Linked DNA regions of Nothobranchius furzeri. Each later gene encodes a partner of the first gene's protein in a complex. Links are inferred from orthologs where the notes say so. Each region holds a gene or a part of one and is shown in the gene's direction. Other genes may lie near its edges.

Region 1 (9,224 bases):
GTTCTGGTGGTCTGTCCAGATGGTGAACGGCTGAGTGGTGCCCAGAAGTCACTGCCTCCATTCCTCCAATGCCCACTTTATGGCCAGCAGCTCGCGATCCCCTACGCCGTATTTCTGCTGGGTGGTGGAAAACTTCCTGGAGAAGTAGGCGCAGGGATGAAGCCTGTCGTCGGGCCCGGCTTGGGACAAGATGGCACCGGCGCCAACATCCGAGGCGTCGACCTCGACCACAAAGGGGACTGCATGATCCGGATGGCGGAGGATAGGAGCCGACGTGAAACGGGCGACTAGGTGTTGGAAGGCCCGAACGGCGTCTGGAGTCAGCCGGAACGGTTGGCTGGGAGGGCTTGGTCGGGTGAGAGAAGTGAGAGGTGCCACAATGGTGCTAAAGTCCTTAATAAAACGGCGGTAAAAGTTGCAGAAACCCAGAAAACTCTGCAGTTGTTTCAGGCTCGTCGGGAGGGGCCAGTCTCTCACCGCCTGGACTTTCTGAGGGTCCATGGTTAGTCCTTTATCTGAAATCATGTAGCCCAGGAATGATACGGACTGCTGGTGGAAGGAGCACTTCTCGGGCTTACAGAACAGGTTATTGTCCAGGAGCCGGGTTAGAACAGCGCGAACATGGTGGAGGTGTTCGGCCTCGGACTTGGAGTAGATCAGGATGTCATCCAGGTAGGCAAACACCCACCGTCCCAACATGTCGCAGAGGACATCGTTTATGAGGCGTTGAAAAATGGCGGGGCTATTGCACAGCCCGAAGGGCATGACCTGGTACTCCCAGTGACCGGTGGGTGTGATGAAAGCGGTCTTCCACTCATCTCCAGCTTTAATACGGACCAGATTGTAGGCGCTCCGGAGGTCCAGCTTGGTGAAGATCCGCGCCTGGGAGATGGCGTCCAGGGCAGATGTGAGGAGCGGCAGAGGATGACGGTCTTTGACTGTGATTTTGTTCAGACCTCGGTAATCGATACAGGGGCGGAGATCACCCTCCTTTTTCCTGACAAAGAAGAAGCCTGCGGCACCCGGGGAGGAGGAAGGTCGAATGAAACCCTGCTGGAGGGCCTGGTCAATATATTCCTCCATGGCTCTGGACTCGGCGGGAGAGAGAGAAAAAAGGCGCCCCCGGGGTGGACTGGTTCCTAGTTGCAGCTTGATTTCCATGTCGTACGTGCGGTGAGGCGGAAGTGTGGTGGCGCGCCGCTTGTCGAACACCGCAGCCAGGTCCCGGTAGGGCAGTGGCAGATTGGGCGGTGTTTGGCCAGTGTCACCGTCCGGGCGGTCTGGCATGGATGTAGGAGGAGAGAGGTGGGCCTGGCACTGGGTCCCCCATTCCAAAATGCGGCCCTGGGACCAGGAAATCCGGGGGTCGTGGAGACGGAGCCAGGGAAATCCCAGGATTAGAGGAGAGGAGGGAGCACATATGATCAGAAACTGGAGGGTCTCTCGGTGGCCTTGGACAATCATCTGGAGTGGCTGGGTTCGGTTTTGGATCGGATAGGGTTGGAGGGGCCTACCGTCCACCGAGGTCACAGGCACAACTCTCTCCAAGGGGGTCATGGGGATCCGTAGGCGCTTAGCCAGATCCATGTCCATAAAATTGTCAGCGGCCCCCGAGTCCAACAGCACGTGCATCTGAAGTGAGGTCTCACCATGAAGGAGGGTAACATGAAGAAGGAGTCGATTTGAAGAGGCGGGGGCTGAAGGTGACCCAGGCTGAGCGACCCCGATACTCAGTGGGTTCCTTCGTTTCCCAAACGTAATGGACAGTTCAGGCGTCTGTGGTGGGAGAAGCCACAATAGGCACAGAGACCCTAGCGCCACCGTCGCTGTCTCTCCTCTGGAGGAAGGTGGCCTGATTGCATGGGCTCATCAGTAGAAGCGGGTCCGGGAGCAGGCGTGGGGGAACGAGGAAGAGGGCCAGGTGCCCTTGATAGGCGAGTGAAGGGCTTGGGCCGAACCAGAACCCGCTGATCCATGCGCAGCGCCAAATCGACCACTTCATCCAGGGTCTGGGGCAGTTCCTTTCCCGCCATCTCATCACGGATGTAGGTCGCCAGTCCCTCCAAGAAGACGGCTCGGAGGGCAGAGTCATCCCACCGCAGCTTGGCGGTTATATTCTGAAAGAATGACAGAAAGAAAATATGGAAGATAATGAATGTGTAATTCAAGAAAATATTTTGTAAACAACAGATAAAAATCTTTTCTATAATATTTATAGAAAATTAGTTCTAAGAACTTAAAGCTGTTTTCATGTCAGTGTTGATCGTTTATCTTGCTAGACCGTCTAAAGGCTGCACTGTCCAACAGTTGAGTTCTGCCTCTTGTTCATCAGACGCCTCGGCAGTGAGGAGTGTAATTGATGAGTTTGGTGACATATACCAGTTAAAAGTATTACCATGCTTCATGATAATCTCTAATAAGGATGCAGCATTACAATTAGGGATGGGAAGAATTTCCAGTTGAAAAGACAACAAATATCATATGATGCTGACCAACAAAGGCAGACCTAGTGCAGAGCAATGCAGCCTTCAAACTGTACATAGTAAGCCTAAAGATTAACAGTAACAACAAAAGAACAGTTAAGTTTCCCCACACAAAACACTGACCACATATTTATAACACAATTGACAAAGAATCAGATCAATAAGGGGAATTGATAATGGCATTGGTATTAACAAAACCTTATCAATACCTGTGGTTGGATTTACCTCCATATTTAACTACAGATTTCTGGTGTGCTTGTAAATGGGGTATTAGGGCATGGTATTGGCCCCACCTTGTGGCACAGTGGGTACTGATAGGTATCCGCTGATTGTTGTATTAATTTGGGCCATGTACCCTCTTTAAATGTTGTGGCGCTGGTCTATAAGAGAATAAAACACTATTAAAACTCATACTTTTAAAAAGAAATACAAGATTAGAGCCAAAATTATATTCCTAACCTATTTCACTTCAAATCTGAATGCATATGTGTTTACCAAATCATGGTCAGTTTAAGCTTTAGTATTCTTCCCTTGTTAAGTTAAAACACAGGACCCTATTTTCTAATGTTTTTGTGTCTAAATGACTAAGAGGAAAAAATTATGAATGATCTACTAGGAGGCAGGGCCAGATTAACACTTTGTTGGTTTTAGTTCTTACAAAAATATGGGTCCCAACGTGGTTTGTGTGGCGTTGCCATAGTGTGACATCATAGGCACAGATCCCCTGTCCTCTTTTTTGGAAATGGAAATATGGTCACCCTATATTAAACAAACTGTCCACCCGGGCTTTTGAGCTGCACAGAGACGCTTCGCTGCCAATGACTTTGAACGTCAGTTGAGAGCGGCTGAGAGTCAGTCTCATGCAGACTGACCAATGAAGAGAGAGCCTCAACTTAAGACCCTCTCCTCAATGGTCAGTCCACACGAGGTGGGTCAAAGGTCACACAAACCACGTTGGGACCCATATTTTTGTAAGAACTAAAATTAATATCAGATTCTGCCAATAAAATGGCTCTAAAATTATTCATATGTAAATTCTTTGCATATTTATTGCAAAATCTCATTTTTCTGCTTTAGTGCTGCAACAAGGTTTTATTAATAAGAAATTATTGTAACTTTTGTTTTACCACAGCACTGGTAAGCTTCCTGTGCACGATTATTAAGGATGCTTGTTTCAACTGTGAGATTAGACGATAGGGTCAATGAAAAAATAAGTTGTCACACACGCCATGGAAACTTTCAGAGAATCCACAAATAGTGGCTTTCAAATGGTCTTGTTACTTTTTGCGAGTTTAGAAAAGAAGCAGATGAGATAGCATGTCTGATCATTTAGTTTTTCTTCTGATAATATTAGAACATGTCAGTGGTGTCTGAGGGGCTTTTACAAACACTGTATAACTAATAATCCTGGAATACACAGAGGCTTCTGGGAAGCCCAGTTGTGGGGGGGGGGGGGGGGGTTAGGGTTCTGTTTTGCCTTGGCCCCCAAAATGTCTTGAAACGGCCTTGGGTGTGTGACTGAGTTTTGAAGGTGATCTGAATTGTATCAAATGTATAAATATTACATGTGTATAACTTATTGTTTTATACAGGTAAAAAGGCGTAGTGGAGATAAATCTACCTACATTTTACTTTTCAACACTTTGTTTAGAAACAGGAAAACTTCAACTACATTACCCACAATGCTAGACAGGTGTTACTATGGAGACGTGGTTAGCTAGTTAAGAAATGAGATATTTGTAACGCGTCTGTTTTGGTAAATTAATTAAAATTTTTACAGATAAGTGCGTTTTGAATGCACAATTCTGGGGGCGTTGGTGACTAGACACAGTTTATGTGTAAAGACGTTTTGTCGCAAAGAGCCAAAGAGGCTTGGCGCTGCTAATGCGCGCGAGTTTTAAAGTGGCCGAGTCTGCTCAGCGGAAGCTAGTTGAAGCTAGCGAGATAGCCACGGAGTTAGCTTTTCATCCACGAAGTTTTACGAGCAGTCAGCAACCTTTAAGCGCTGAGGCTAGACAGTTTACGTTTCAGGGAAATGCATCCGCCACGGAAAGTTTAATCAGGTAAATGTGTGTGTTTTGTTTCTTTTTCAGGCTAGACAGGGAAGGGTTGAGTTTAGCTAAGTAGTAAACACCAGCATTGCTAGCAATTGATCGCAAACATGAACGTTACTCAGAATTAGAAATGAGCCTCTAAACAAAAACATCTTTAAACCGATCAATAAGCGATATTTATGCATGCTAGTGACCTCATTGTGTTGTTTAATACATGACCATATCAAACAACTCATTTCTGATCAGATGTTCGCGAAACAAACAACCTAATAACTCTTTTGCCCCAACAGGTAGCACACAATGTCTATAGATTTTGATAGTGCTGCTCTTCAAACTCAGCATGATGAAGAGGAATATGACCAGGAAGACTATGCAAGAGAGCAAGAGGTAAAACACAGCAGCAGTTTGTGTCCACATATACACAAGTGTGCAAAAGCCTTACTACCATTTGCTTCTCAAGAGTCCGATTTTCTTGAAATCCTTTAAAAGTAGTTTAAAGTCTTTCTCGAGTTCTTGCAACGTTTTCTTGCTTTTTCAACCATTTGTTTTCTGTACAGTCCGTGCATCTGATGGTAATATATTTCTCACGGATGAACAGTATCTGAATGGCTTTATATTTGGAAGAAGCCTATCAGACTTTAAAGAGCAAGTCACCCCCTACCAAAATCTAACTCAACTCCCACTTCATGTTTGAAAAATGCAACAAATGCCGTTGCCTAGCAGACTGAGAGGGCGGAGCCGCTAACAAATACACACACACACAGGCTCACGACAGCATTGTGACATCATAATGTACCAGTTTACGTCATAGCATACCTCTTAGCCAATAGCGGTGGCAGTTATAAATTCAAATACAGTGCAGAGTTTTTACCTGACAACGGCACAACACTGACAGTTTTAAGCAGAATATTTAAATTTTAACTAAGATGCACTGAAGTGCCAAATTATTGACCACACGTGTCTGCAGCACAATTAGACACTCGTTTATTTAGTTTATCAGCAAAAAAAAAGTTGATTTGGGGGTGACTTGCTCTTTAAACAGGACCTGAGTCATGCGTAATCCTTGGACTGATCCTCTTCTATATGAAAGCTTTTCAGCTCAAAGCTCTTATGGAATTACTTTGTTGTTGCTACAACACTATATCATGTGTTATTTTGGTGCTTTTAATAGATTTGTCTCAACAAGTTAGGGCAAATTGTGCCTATTTGACATGATGTGTTTATCAAAGTGCCTAAAATCCGATTTAAGATTGTTTAGTTTAACACTAGTTAATTATTTCACTTTAGAAACATTTTGCTGCCTTAATTATTTGTAAATCAGATGTTTGTTAAAAAATAAATAAATACATTCGTTAGAGAAAAATCCAAGTTCTGAATGGAAAACGCACACACACACACACATAGACACACACACACGACACACGTTTATGTTTGGTCAAACATTCTCATTTATTATAACCAAATGACAAGAGCATATATATTTTATGCTGGGGAAAAAAGCTTGTATTAATTCAGAATGTTTGCCGTTTTATTTTTATGAGATATTTAATATATAATATTAGCAATTCTAACAGGTGGTTTGAGATCATGGTGTGTGTTTCATTTGAATGTCAGTCACTGACAGCTTCACATGGTGAAACATCTACTTGGTTAATCACGTTTCCAGTCGATTGTGTCATGAGTGTGAGTTGTTGTTATTGGCTCCCTCCAGGTGTGTCATGCTGAAACTAGCTCTGCCCTGTGGCCTTCCCTCTCTTCGTCTCTGCTCCTCTCCCCATTTCAGCTTGGTTAAGACTGGAGAAGTGATTGCTGAGCAACTCACCAGGTGTACAGCAGAAAGGAGCAAATTTAGACTTTTTCCATGAACTTTTTGTATTTTATTTTTTTACAACTTACTAAACAAACTGGTCAAGTGGAAAATGCTTGCCACCAGTAATTGGAATGTTTCTGCTCCAGTTAGCCTTGCTATATGTTTTTTTTTTCTTTTAACAATGGAGTTCTTTGGGAGCGAAAGCAGCAATGTCACAGGGAGCCAATAACATGCAAGGCATGCTCTGAATGTTTCTCACATAAGGTCATCTCAGCAGAGTGATTAGGATATATTAGTGGTTATCTGGAGAGCCGAGCCGCGTTTTATGTTCCTGGTAGATGTGTTAGTGTGGTAAAAATGGGTCCTTCAGTCCTGGACACTGTGGAGGATCTGAGGAATATTCAGCAGTCCTTGTGGGAAGTAAGTCCAGCAGTCCGTCTCTTACATGGCCTTGTCTTGCTGTTGTTGTGAAGCTTACATGTTTAAAAGCTGTGGAAAAAACTCTAAACAATTAATGATATTTATAAAATAATATTTGCATTGGAGTTTAATTAGCCTGAGATTATTTTAAAAGTTTTTGGATAAATTCCTTGTTACAATTTGATTATTAACTTAATCATTACATAATTGCTGTAAAAAGTACACAAAACATCTAATCCACATTGAGCCACATCCTGACCAATACAATTAAACCATAATGTTGTTTGAAAACTCAAATATAGCCACTTTTTATTTCGAATGTTTTACACCACTGACCTTTTTCCTTCTTCATCTCACTCATTGCTACTCTGTGTTATTTTTTGCTGCATGTCATTTCATAACTCTGTTGCGTAGCAACCTCAGTGAGTCATTTCCATGTGCTGCTTTCTCTGCAGCTGCACAAGCTGCTCACGGACCTGCCGGATGACATGCTGGAGGACAGCAGAGACTCCTCCTCTCCGGAGCTGGAGTGCTCCAACTGCAGCAATCAAAACGCCAGCAGCAGGTAGCACACGTCGCCGGTGACACGGCGTAGATTAAAACACCCAGAAAATCTGCACTGCAACAAAGTGACTTCATGTTGCCTTTTCCTCTCAGCCCACAGTGTAAGTGGACTCAAGAATGGTCCGATCATGCACATCCGCCCTCTCATGCTCAGGTAGAGAGTATCTTTTTGTTCAGAACTGATTCCTAGAAGAGAAGAAAACATAATACATTTGTTTTTGTATATGGTTTTTTTTTTTTTTTAGATCTATGACGTTGACTTTGATCAAGCCTCTCATGACCAGTATGCCTATGAAGATGATGGAAACCTGCTCCCTCACACCTGGAATCAAAATCATCCATTTGCACAGGAGAGGTATCCGTGCACAAGCGTCGGCTCGGATAAATGCACAGAGAATAGCGATTTTTCTACTGGGTCTGAGGCACAGCCGTTCCCTGAAGGCTCCGACAACCATGTGAACTTTAAAGGAGAAGAAGGCTACAGGAGGGAACTCAACCACGAGGTTCAAAACACCAGACACCAGTTTCAAGTGAGTGAGCGCCTGCATCAGTGTAACCACTGATCTTCAGCGGTTCTCCTAGAATCAGGAAGTTTAAAACGTGATGTATTATTGATCTGTTTCTACATGGATGCCCTGAGTAACCAGTTCAGGACGGCAGCAGCAGAGCTGAAATGTGTCATAAAAGGAAAACATTGACAGTACAGTACCAGCAAATCAATTCATGTATCTCTGCTTCAGCTCACGGGATCCACTAGAGGTGTAGGATAAGCTTAGAGTCCAATCGAACGAGAATTGTTCTGACATTGTATTTATTCTTCTACCGTGTGGTTTTGGGTGCTATAAAAACAATCAGTCATTAAGTTTGTGTAGTTTTTATTTAAGTCACTTTGTACAGCAATCTGTTTTTAAGCTAACAGTGTTTAAAACAAACAAAACAACCATAACAACAATCAGCTATTCTGATTTAAGTCAAAATAATTTCAGATTATTAAACTTTAATTTAGTTTTCGAACGTCTTTACCTGACACTGTGTTTCTTTACTGTCAGAATGTGAACTCTGAAGTGAACGATCAAGGTTCCAACCAGCACCAGGTTCGTTATAAGCCTCATCATGCTGTCCACCAGCCCAAGGTGTTTCACTCTCAAGCTGCTCAGCAAGACCAGTTTGGCCTCCTACAGAGGGAATTCCTCGATTCAACACAACGTGAGTCTTTATTTGTTTTCTGATTTTAAACTCTGAGGTATAAAACTCACAATTACTGCTGCTGCCTTTAACCTGGTCCAGACTTCACAAAGCTGTAAAAGTGTAGATTTATCAACAGCAAATGGTAAATATTTGATGATTGATTTTGACGCTAACTCATGAAAAGCAAGGCTAGGTATGTAAAGTCAAAGATAAATGGATGTTTTTTCTAACAAATTAAATCAAAGTGGTTTGATTTTGGCTGACATGTATAATAGAAACTTTACCCAGAAACATCTCACCTGTTAATTAAAACTATCAGTCAGTCAACCATCAAAACCAGTGTACAACCTTGAAGAAAGTCTCCATATACTTCTCAGAAGTAAGTGACAGATGATCGGTGTGTTTCCAGAAAACGCCGACAGGGAGCGAAGCACCCAACTTCAGATTTTAAACAAAGCTCAGCAGAGGCAGATTGAAGATTTGGAGCGGAAGCTGGAGGATTCCCGGCGTAACATGAGATATCTGGAGCATCAGTTTGCAATAGTCAAAGGTGTGTCTCACAGCCTCAGCATCACAACAAGGATGTGTCCTTTTAGCATTTGTTGGCTGATCATGTTACGTTTTTACACGCATTAAAACAGTTTATTCTGCTGAATACAAATGTTTTTGTACCTGAACTGAATTGACTACAGGATTCACTCAAGA
Region 2 (8,542 bases), on another chromosome or scaffold:
AAACAAAACCTCCTGCAGATTCAATTAAATGTTTCAAAAATAAATGTAAATGTGTGAGGATGTTGGTTTTAGGACATGTTTTAAACCGTAAGGAAGGAGACAGTAAATAGTTGTGGCATGAAGCATTTTATCTCTATTCCCATAATAACACCATCACCTATTCAATCAATCAATCAAACTTTATTTCAGACAAGGGATATGTCCATAACAAGAATAAAAAAAATAAAAAATAAATAAAAAAATAAAATACAAACACATTCTAATTACAAACCATATAGGCAGTTGCTCCAATGTTTAAAAAGGACTGAGGAGTACCTCGTGTCACTGTAAGATAAAGATGACAGAGCTCTAACAACCGCGTTAGCTGACAAACTCAGTCGGCAGATGAATTTGTACATGAAGAGCCTCAGAAGCGCATGAAAAGTTGGGATGTTACTCGTAACAAACATGTGACTTGCCGAAGTCCATCTAGGGAGCTTCATGAGGATTCTAAAAGCATCCTGATAAGCCACTTGAAGCTTCTTCATTACTACCTTACTATAGTTGCACCACAAGTGGGCGGTATAGAGAGGAGTACAAAAGGAACGAAAGAGGGACACTTTTACAGGATCTGAGCACATGCCAAAGTTACGTGCCAGAGTGTTAGCCTGCATGTACAGCTTACCACACTGCCTCTTAATGTCCTCGTCATCACAGAGGTCACTTCTTAAAATGTGCCCCAAATATTTTACTTTGCTTACCACTTCCAGGACCTGATTTGTTAAGTTAAAAGATGGAAAATTAAGCTTCAGGTCCCCTTTAGTAGCAGCAATCATAACCACACTCTTTTTAGGGTTAAACAGGATGTCAAATTGCTCACCATACTTAGCACATGCCCTGAGCAGCTGCTGCAGGCCTGCGCTATAGGGAGACATGAGGACTAGGTCATCTGCATATATTAAATGATTTACCAGTCGGTCACCCACCAAGCATCCAGTCTTACTAGCATTCAGAGTAACAGACAACTCGTCAAGGTACAGGTTAAAAAGGACAGGTGACAGAATCCCGCCTTGTCTGACTCCATTTGATACGGAGAAAGGTTCAGACACTTCTGTCCCCCACTTTACCTGCATCAGTTGATGAGAGTACCAGAAGTGCAAAATCCTAACTAGGTAAGAAGGGACCCCTCTGTTTTGTAGCTTGATGAATAATTTCTGATGATTGACTCTGTCAAAGGCCTTAGAGGCATCTAAAAAACACATAAAAACAGAAGTATTATGCCTCATGTATTTGTTGCAGATTGGACTTCTTCACAAGCAGCTTGAAGCCGTTCAGACGGATCGGCAAGAGTTGGTATCCAAGTACGAACAACAACTAAAGAGACTCCGTGAAGAGGTGTGATCATCTGTTTTTCCTCAAATGCACTCAGCTATATCGCTTGTATCATGTTTATTGTTAACATCGTTTCTTATAGTTGGACAAGTTGAAGAGAAGTTACCAGAAGCTTCATCGCAAACAGCTTAAGGAGACAAGTGGAGGTGGAAAGGAGACTGAGCTTGCAAAGGTGAACTAATAGATTTTCCTGGCATTTCCATCTCCTGGAATTTGATTAATCGTTCTTACATTGGTGCAGAAGCATCAGCAGCGCTCTGAGCAGCAGCGAACTCGGTACCAAAACCAGCTGACCACACTGGAGCTCCAGAATAAAAGCCTGAACCAGGAGCTTGCTCACTTAAAGGTTAAAAAGCACATTTATGACTTTCACTCAGGAAGCCAGACATATTTAGTGTATAAAAGTGTGGAAGACTGCTGCATTGTTGTTGCATTTCAGTAATATTTGTTTTTCCAGAGCCAATGGGCATCGGGGCGGGTGGAGAGGGAACACAAGGAGTGCTGTTCAGAGGTGCAGCATCTGCGTGCACAGCTGGAGAAGGCTCAGGCCAGCCTGCACTCACAGGAACTGGAACTGGATCGCCTCAGACCGCTGGAGGTGCTGTTGGGACAGTCCCAGAGAGAGCAGCAGGTTAGCAGGGCGACAGGAACATGTGAGATGTGTGGCTTCTCAGCTGGATACCAAACATCTTCCATCAGATTCCAGGTGTTTGTAACAACTCTGGAGATAAAAGTCTCACTGTTTGGACTCCAAAGGTCTTCTAAAGTTTGGACGAATTTCATTTAGGCTTTTATTACAGCTTCCATCCAATCACGTCATTAAAGCTGCAGGAAAAGAGCCGTAAATACTTGAGCTGAAAGAAAAAAAAAGTCAAACAAATTAATTGAAAGAGCTGATCACTTCAGGCGTCCATGTTGAAATGAGCTCTAATGAGCTAGGAATCTGCTGCTCCACAGTTGCCGTCGGGGCAACGAGACAACCTCCACGCCGTGCTAGACTCCCGGGATGCGTTTATGCTCAGAGCCGGTCTTGAGCAGCAGAGATTGTGTGAGGAAGCTGCTCGACTCACGCAAGTGCTGCAAGCTAAAGATCAAGTCATCCGGTGGGTGCATCTCTGATGGTAGTCATGTCATTACAGTGGCATGTTGCAAGGGTGGCGTTCCCTACTGGCTTTCCCGGTTCTGGTTCTGCTTTCGTTATGCATGTGAGCGTGTTGTTGTGTCTGCAGCTCTCTGGAGGACTGTCTGTCAGCTCAGGGCTGTGCCGGTGTGGAAACTCTCAGGAAGGCTCTGGAGAGGACTACAGCCAAGCTTCAGAGTGCTCAGGTCTGTGAGCTCCAGCTGAAGGCGGAGCTCTCCTGTGTCAGAGAAAGGTGGCTGCTGCTTTCACGCTCACCCAATCAAACCAAGCCGGGTTTATTCTGAGCTCTGAATGTTTCTACCTGCTCGTTTTCCTCGTTTGGGCTCAGGTTGGAGAACATGAGCAGACAGCAGGACAACGCTTCAAAGATGGAGCAGGAACTGAAAAATGTGAAAGTGCACTGTGACTCCTCTGTCACAGAGATCAAGAAGGTTAGGGACTCTGACCTGATGAGTGACGTTTAACAGTTTCAGCTTCTGTTTCTCATCTCTGGGTGTGTTCTTCAGCTCAAAGAGGAGCTCCAGAGGACCAGGCAGACTCACAGTGGCGAAGCTGAGGGAACGAAAGAGGAGGTGTCAAAGTTGACGAGTGAGCTGTATCAACGTGACCTCCCCATCGCTGCTCTGAGCGGACCCTTGCCTAGCGTCAGGCAGCAGCTCCGAGGCGAGGTGGGGCTCTGGAACAATTGTGGAAAATGTGGAGTCCCAAGATTTACATGAGACTGTAAATGTCCTCCTCCGTTGTGAGCAGTGAGATCCTGTTACAGGCGTGTGTGCTGGATATGTGTTGGTCAACGTCCCCGCTCACATTAGCCCTCAGATAACTAGTTACATCTAAACCTGCTTTTGGAAGTATAGCAGCAGGTCTGATCCCCACACGATAGTCCTGAATCAGAAATGTTTTCCTTTCTCAGGTGACTCAGGCACAGCTGGAGACTTTACAAGCTGAGAACCAGCATCTGAAAGGTCTGCTGCAGCGACTGGAGCCTCCCTCACCCAAGGTCTGTCTGATATCCACCACACAACCTTAAGCCGGGCGTACGCTGTGCGACTTTTTCCCTTTTTTGAGCCGATTTTCCACTCGTGCGAGAATCCACGACATCGGGGCGAGTCTTGCGCTGAGCGTCGTGTAGTGTACAGGGGGTTACGAGAGGCGATTAACACCACGTGACCAGCTGCCGATCAGCAGTCGTGAGCTCGCACGGACTTCTGGCGTGTTTGATATTTCGCTCGTCCCTCGTGAGGGTATCGCACTGTTGAAGCGGCGCTGCGAGCAGCTGCGACCCAAAAACTACCAGAACCGCTCACGGTGCATGCGCAATCCTGCATCAACACCGCTCGCCCGCTATTTCCCTAATAACACACGCTGTTCGTTTTTATTTCTACACGTTTTTTCACTCACAAAGATTGTCAAGAAAGCGTGTTTGTCGTGTTCGTGTCAAATTAAACTGATCACAAAACACAGATTTACTTTCTTTATTTCGTTTTCCTCATCCAACCCCATAAATCCCTGTGTGTCCTCCTGCAGCGCTCCCGAAGGACAACAGGCAAGACGAGACAAAAAAGTGTCACATGTTGTGTAAAAACTGCTATTTTTAGCATATTTTTAGGGCCGTGTTGCTACCAGACGTTCAGTGTGAGCACACGACTCGTGAGATCTGCCCTGCGATGAAGTCGTGCAGTGTGAGCTGAAGCTGAGTGCTACGAGTGAAAAAGTCGCACAGTGTCCTCCCAGCTTTAAAAGCAGCAGCAGCAGCTAGGGACCATCAAACGTGACTCCTGCCTGTGTGTCTCTTGTCTCTCCCCAGAGGGGGGGTTCCTTCCCAGATTCTCTGAAGGAGAGCCTCAAGCCCTCCTTGAGGAGCCTGGAACAGGAAAATAATCAGTTAAAGAAGGTTCTCGCCAAGGAGCAGTCACAGCGTGACAGCTCAAATCAGACACATCGGGAGAAGTATGAGAGCGCTCTGCTCAGCCACGCCATCTCTGAGCAGCCACAGCAGGACCAGGACGGGTAGGTGGCATGTCCAAATGGGTACCAGTCCAAGCTGTTCCAGAACTGATGATGAAACCCTGTTTTGCAGGCCTCAGGTGCAGGATAAAGCCCAGAGCTGTGAGGGAGAAATCCAGAGGCTCTTCAGAGAGCTGCAGATGCTGTCCCCTACAAGGCATGGAGACCATTCCTCCTCCTCCTCTTCCTCCAGCATCAGCACCAGACTGACCAGGAGGAACTCGGTGACAGCATTAAGTCTCAATGAATCTGCTGCTGAGGGCCAAAGCTCAGGCTCAGAAGGCTCCGTGACACCAGGATTCAAAGACAAAGTGAGGCCGCGTGTTTTATGATAAAAGTCCATAATGTACAGTTCTTCTGCCAGGACTTCTGCAGATGTTTGTTTTTCCTCCCAGGATCCTTCATCAGTGTCGTCTGCACGCGGCATGGTCACTCGTTTCTTAGAGGACGAGAGCTTACGGTCCGAGGAGCTGCTGCAGAGGCTGGACCATCACATCCTGGGGATGAGAGAGCACAATACCAGAACGGTGTCCAGATATCTGGCCGGTGGCTCGGGGCCTGAGGCTGAGCCAACATCAGAGCAGAGTCATTCAACTCCTCAGCTCTAACGTTGGTAACGAATCACTGCAAAGTGTTTTAACTTCACATCTTCATCAGCCAGAGCGGACCGAGCGTCTGGTCTGATTAACTTTGTCTACATGAATGTGTTTTTGACTCCTTTGGTCTTCCTTCATCAGCATATTTACTTTGAACCAACCATAAAATAAATGTATTGAACAAATAATCATTGCTATAGTTTATTAGTGCTGAACTAACTAAAGAAACAAAACTGGAACGGACATTTTTCTTCATCAGTCCAAGACAGATGACTGGAATGTCCCTTATGTCTGTAAATATATGTATTATAAATTATTCTGCTGAGAAACAATTTAAAAAATCAGATTTCCTTTGGGTGGTTTAAGTGTGTGTGTGTGTGTGTGTGTGTGTGTGTGTGTGTGTGTGTGTGTGTGTGTGTGTGTGTGTGTGTGTGTGTGTCCTTTAGATTGTTTTAATGACCTTTGTTTAGTTTATTTATTCTTAAACGGCACCACCCATTTTTTCCACATCTATTAATTTTATTGAAGGTAGTGATTGTACGCGTTAGAGACTAAACAGAAGATTTAATAATAAACCAAACCAGGTGAGGGCTTTTATGTAAATGCATTAAAATAAAAGTTTAATTCCTTCTAAAAGTCACAAGCTGTCTCTACTTTCAGTCTCTTCTGCATGAATATATTTAGAAATGTTAATGCTTCAGAAAGGACACGCTGAAAAACCAAACTTGAGTTCTTCTCACTTAAAACTATGTTTTCTGTGTTTTTAGAGGCTTATAAATATGTATTTGTGTGAAACATGCAGAAGAGTGATTTGTCTCCATATGCTCAAAGAAAAAAGTAATTTTATTAAAACAACACTGGGTTTCAAACTGCGGCTGCTGATGTTTCAGCTGTTGGTTGGGTGTCGCTGCAGTTTGGTACATTCACTTTTGGTTCATCAGAAACATCCAGATGTGGTAGCTTTGCCACCGCTTTAGACTCTTCAATCAGAAGGAGTCCACCCACTGTCTCTCTCACCTTCAGCTGCGGATGGCTCAGTCTTTTCGAAAGTCTCTTTTTTATTTGTCTTCCCAACTTCTGGCTGTATTTACGACGTTTGCCATTTCTTTTTCTAATAGAGAAAACAGTTTTAAGGATGAAAGTCATAAATTGTTTAGAATAAATTCTGAGCTAATCATAAATTTTATAACATGCCTCAGCATGGGATCTACCACAGAGTGGTAAATAGCTTGGTACTCTTCAATAGGATAGCCATGGAACCGAAGGGGCGAGTCCCATCCTGGGACTGCATCCTGCTGGACACGATCAGGGTTGGATCCCAAACTCCAGGTCTGGAGGTCTGAGGTGGAAAAGGAAGGCTGGGGTCCTGGCTTTAAACCAAGGGGGAGGAGAAAGTCCGGAGCAGGTGTGGAGGGACAGGAGTTGAGGGGCCGAAGAGTGGGAATCTCAGCAGCAAGGGACTGCTGTTGGACAGAATTATGTCTTACATGATGCAAAAGACATGAGACAGGCGGGCATAGGCCCCACCACAGCATTACTTTAATTCTCATAAATGTCTCACTTTCACTGAGGTTCATCTGAAAACTCATTCTTGCCACAAAGTTAAGTTTTCATCTAAAACAAGTTCCAACTTTACAACTTCATAAACCCTGATGGACGAAAACAAAAACAGCGTATCTGAAAGGAAAATAAAATTCTGTAGCTACTGTTGGAAACATGCGGATCAATAAAGTTTCAAATGATGGGTCCAGCTCTTTCTAAATGTCCATATCTAGTGGTTAGGGTTTGATTTAGCCCTCTACTTGTACCTTCTGCTGTTCATCCCAAACATCCACATCTATGGGTTCCGTGTCATAAGACTCCTGGACCAGCTGGGGACCTGATCCCAGAGGCTGGATGAGGGGGGAGAGTCATTTCATTTCATTTATTTATAAAGCCCCTTCTGCAACCAATGCAGACACCCAAGGTACTGAACACAACACAATAAAAACATAAAACCATCAGAATAAAATATAACAATCGTAAAACCAACACAAAATCAATTAAAAGAGGAGAGTAAAAGCAAAAAATAAAATCCTGGAAAAGATTAAGAGGCCGGGGCGTCGAAACCGGGTAAAATTTGCTAATCCTGGAATGCCTCGACAAAAAAATGGGTCTTAAGGCGAGTCTTAAAAACCCCCCAATGAGGGTGACTGACGCACCACCAAAGGCAACTGGTTCCAAAGTGCAGGTGCCAACACGGAGAATGCATGGTCCCCCCGTGACCTGTACTTAGTGCGTGGAACCATCAACAGCTCCCTGCCGGCTGAGCGATGGGCCTGCGAGGGGGCGTGTCTATGCAAAAGGTTGCCAAGATATGCTGGAGCAGTTCCTTGTAAGGCCTTGTATGTCAGTACCAAGACCTTGAATTTTGCCCTGTATTGCACAGGCAGCCAATGAAGGGATGCCAACACAGGGGTGATATGTTCCCTGCGCCTAGTGCCTGTCACAAACCTAGCGGCTGAGTTTTGTACTAACTGCAAGCGTGCTACCGCACCCTGAGTAAAGCCGGCATACAGTGCATTGCAGTAGTCGAGCCTTGAAAGAACAAAAGCCTGTGTGACAGTCTCTAGATGTACTCTGGACAGCAGGGGCTTAATTCTGGCTAGGCGGCGTAAGTAAAAAAAAAAAAACACGATCGCACAACCTGGTTGATTTGCGCGTCAAATTTAAGGGCTGAGTCCTGTTGCACTCCCAAATTTCGGATGGTGGTCTTCACGTTAGATGCTAAAGGGCCCAGATTCACAGCATCGTATGGGCGTGTAGACATGCCAGGGCTAAGTACAATTACTTCAGTCTTAGCATCATTCAGATGTAAAAAGTTTGTTGCCATCCAGGAGTGCACATCCTCTAAGGCATCTACAAGCTTTGATATTGACCCATCGACCCCCCGCTGAAGGGGAAGGTAGATCTGACAGTCGTCAGCATAAAAATGAAAACGCATGCCGAACCGCAGAAGAAGATTCCCTCAACGGTAGTAAGTAGATGGCAAAAAGAAGCGGACCCAGTACAGACCCCTGTGGCACACCCCACTTGAGCCCCTTCCAGGTCGAGGAGGTTTCACCTACACTGACACAAAAACTCCTGTCAGATAAGTAGGAGTGTAGCCATTGAAGGGCTGCACCGGTAATTCCCGCCCAGTGTTGTAGCCGATCCAAAAGTATGTCATGATCGACCGTGTCAGGCCGCAGACAAATCTAGCATCCCCCTCGTCACAAGCTAAAAAACATCATTAAGAACCATTAAAAGTGCAGTCTCTGTACTGTGACCTGCTCTGAACCCTGACTGAAAGCTCTCCCAGAGTTTGTGAGTGTCTAAAAATGCAACCAGCTGTAAATATACAACCCTCTCAAGCAGCTTGGATAAGTAAGGTAGATGAGAGATAGGT

What was found.
Region 2: the proteins of cep152 (region 1) and cep63 are in contact, whole or in part, in a crystal structure (PDB 6CSU), measured with the Homo sapiens proteins. The link is inferred for Nothobranchius furzeri from reciprocal best matches to the Homo sapiens genes CEP152 and CEP63. Residues at the interface, in NP_001181927.1 of Homo sapiens: Gly1261, Ala1262, Glu1265, Leu1266, Gln1269, Tyr1270, Lys1272, Ala1273, Lys1276, Ile1277, Asp1280, Met1281, Tyr1284, Glu1287, Ser1288, Arg1291, Ala1292, Met1295, Ala1298, Arg1302; in NP_001340037.1 of Homo sapiens: Phe666, Glu669, Glu670, Arg673, Ile677, Arg680, Leu681, His684, Glu687, Leu688, Glu691, Ser692, Thr695, Phe699.

Annotation. Positions count from the first base shown.
Region 1 is NC_091744.1:64,196,627-64,205,850, forward strand, and holds the start of cep152 (centrosomal protein of 152 kDa), read left to right. Parts: upstream 1-4,204; 5' UTR 4,205-4,546; intron 4,547-4,827; 5' UTR 4,828-4,837; coding exon 4,838-4,924; intron 4,925-7,222; coding exon 7,223-7,332; intron 7,333-7,424; coding exon 7,425-7,485; intron 7,486-7,576; coding exon 7,577-7,861; intron 7,862-8,380; coding exon 8,381-8,537; intron 8,538-8,928; coding exon 8,929-9,069; intron 9,070-9,224. UniProt on the Homo sapiens protein: Necessary for centrosome duplication; the function also seems to involve CEP63, CDK5RAP2 and WDR62 through a stepwise assembled complex at the centrosome that recruits CDK2 required for centriole duplication.
Region 2 is NC_091756.1:60,717,144-60,725,685, forward strand, and holds the end of cep63 (centrosomal protein of 63 kDa), read left to right. Parts: intron 1-1,278; coding exon 1,279-1,374; intron 1,375-1,453; coding exon 1,454-1,543; intron 1,544-1,612; coding exon 1,613-1,717; intron 1,718-1,828; coding exon 1,829-2,002; intron 2,003-2,328; coding exon 2,329-2,474; intron 2,475-2,600; coding exon 2,601-2,744; intron 2,745-2,840; coding exon 2,841-2,943; intron 2,944-3,018; coding exon 3,019-3,180; intron 3,181-3,425; coding exon 3,426-3,512; intron 3,513-4,319; coding exon 4,320-4,522; intron 4,523-4,592; coding exon 4,593-4,830; intron 4,831-4,914; coding exon 4,915-5,127; 3' UTR 5,128-5,303; downstream 5,304-8,542. Other genes in the region: uncharacterized protein, read right to left, coding at 5,980-6,226, 6,310-6,578, 6,924-7,007. UniProt on the Homo sapiens protein: Required for normal spindle assembly.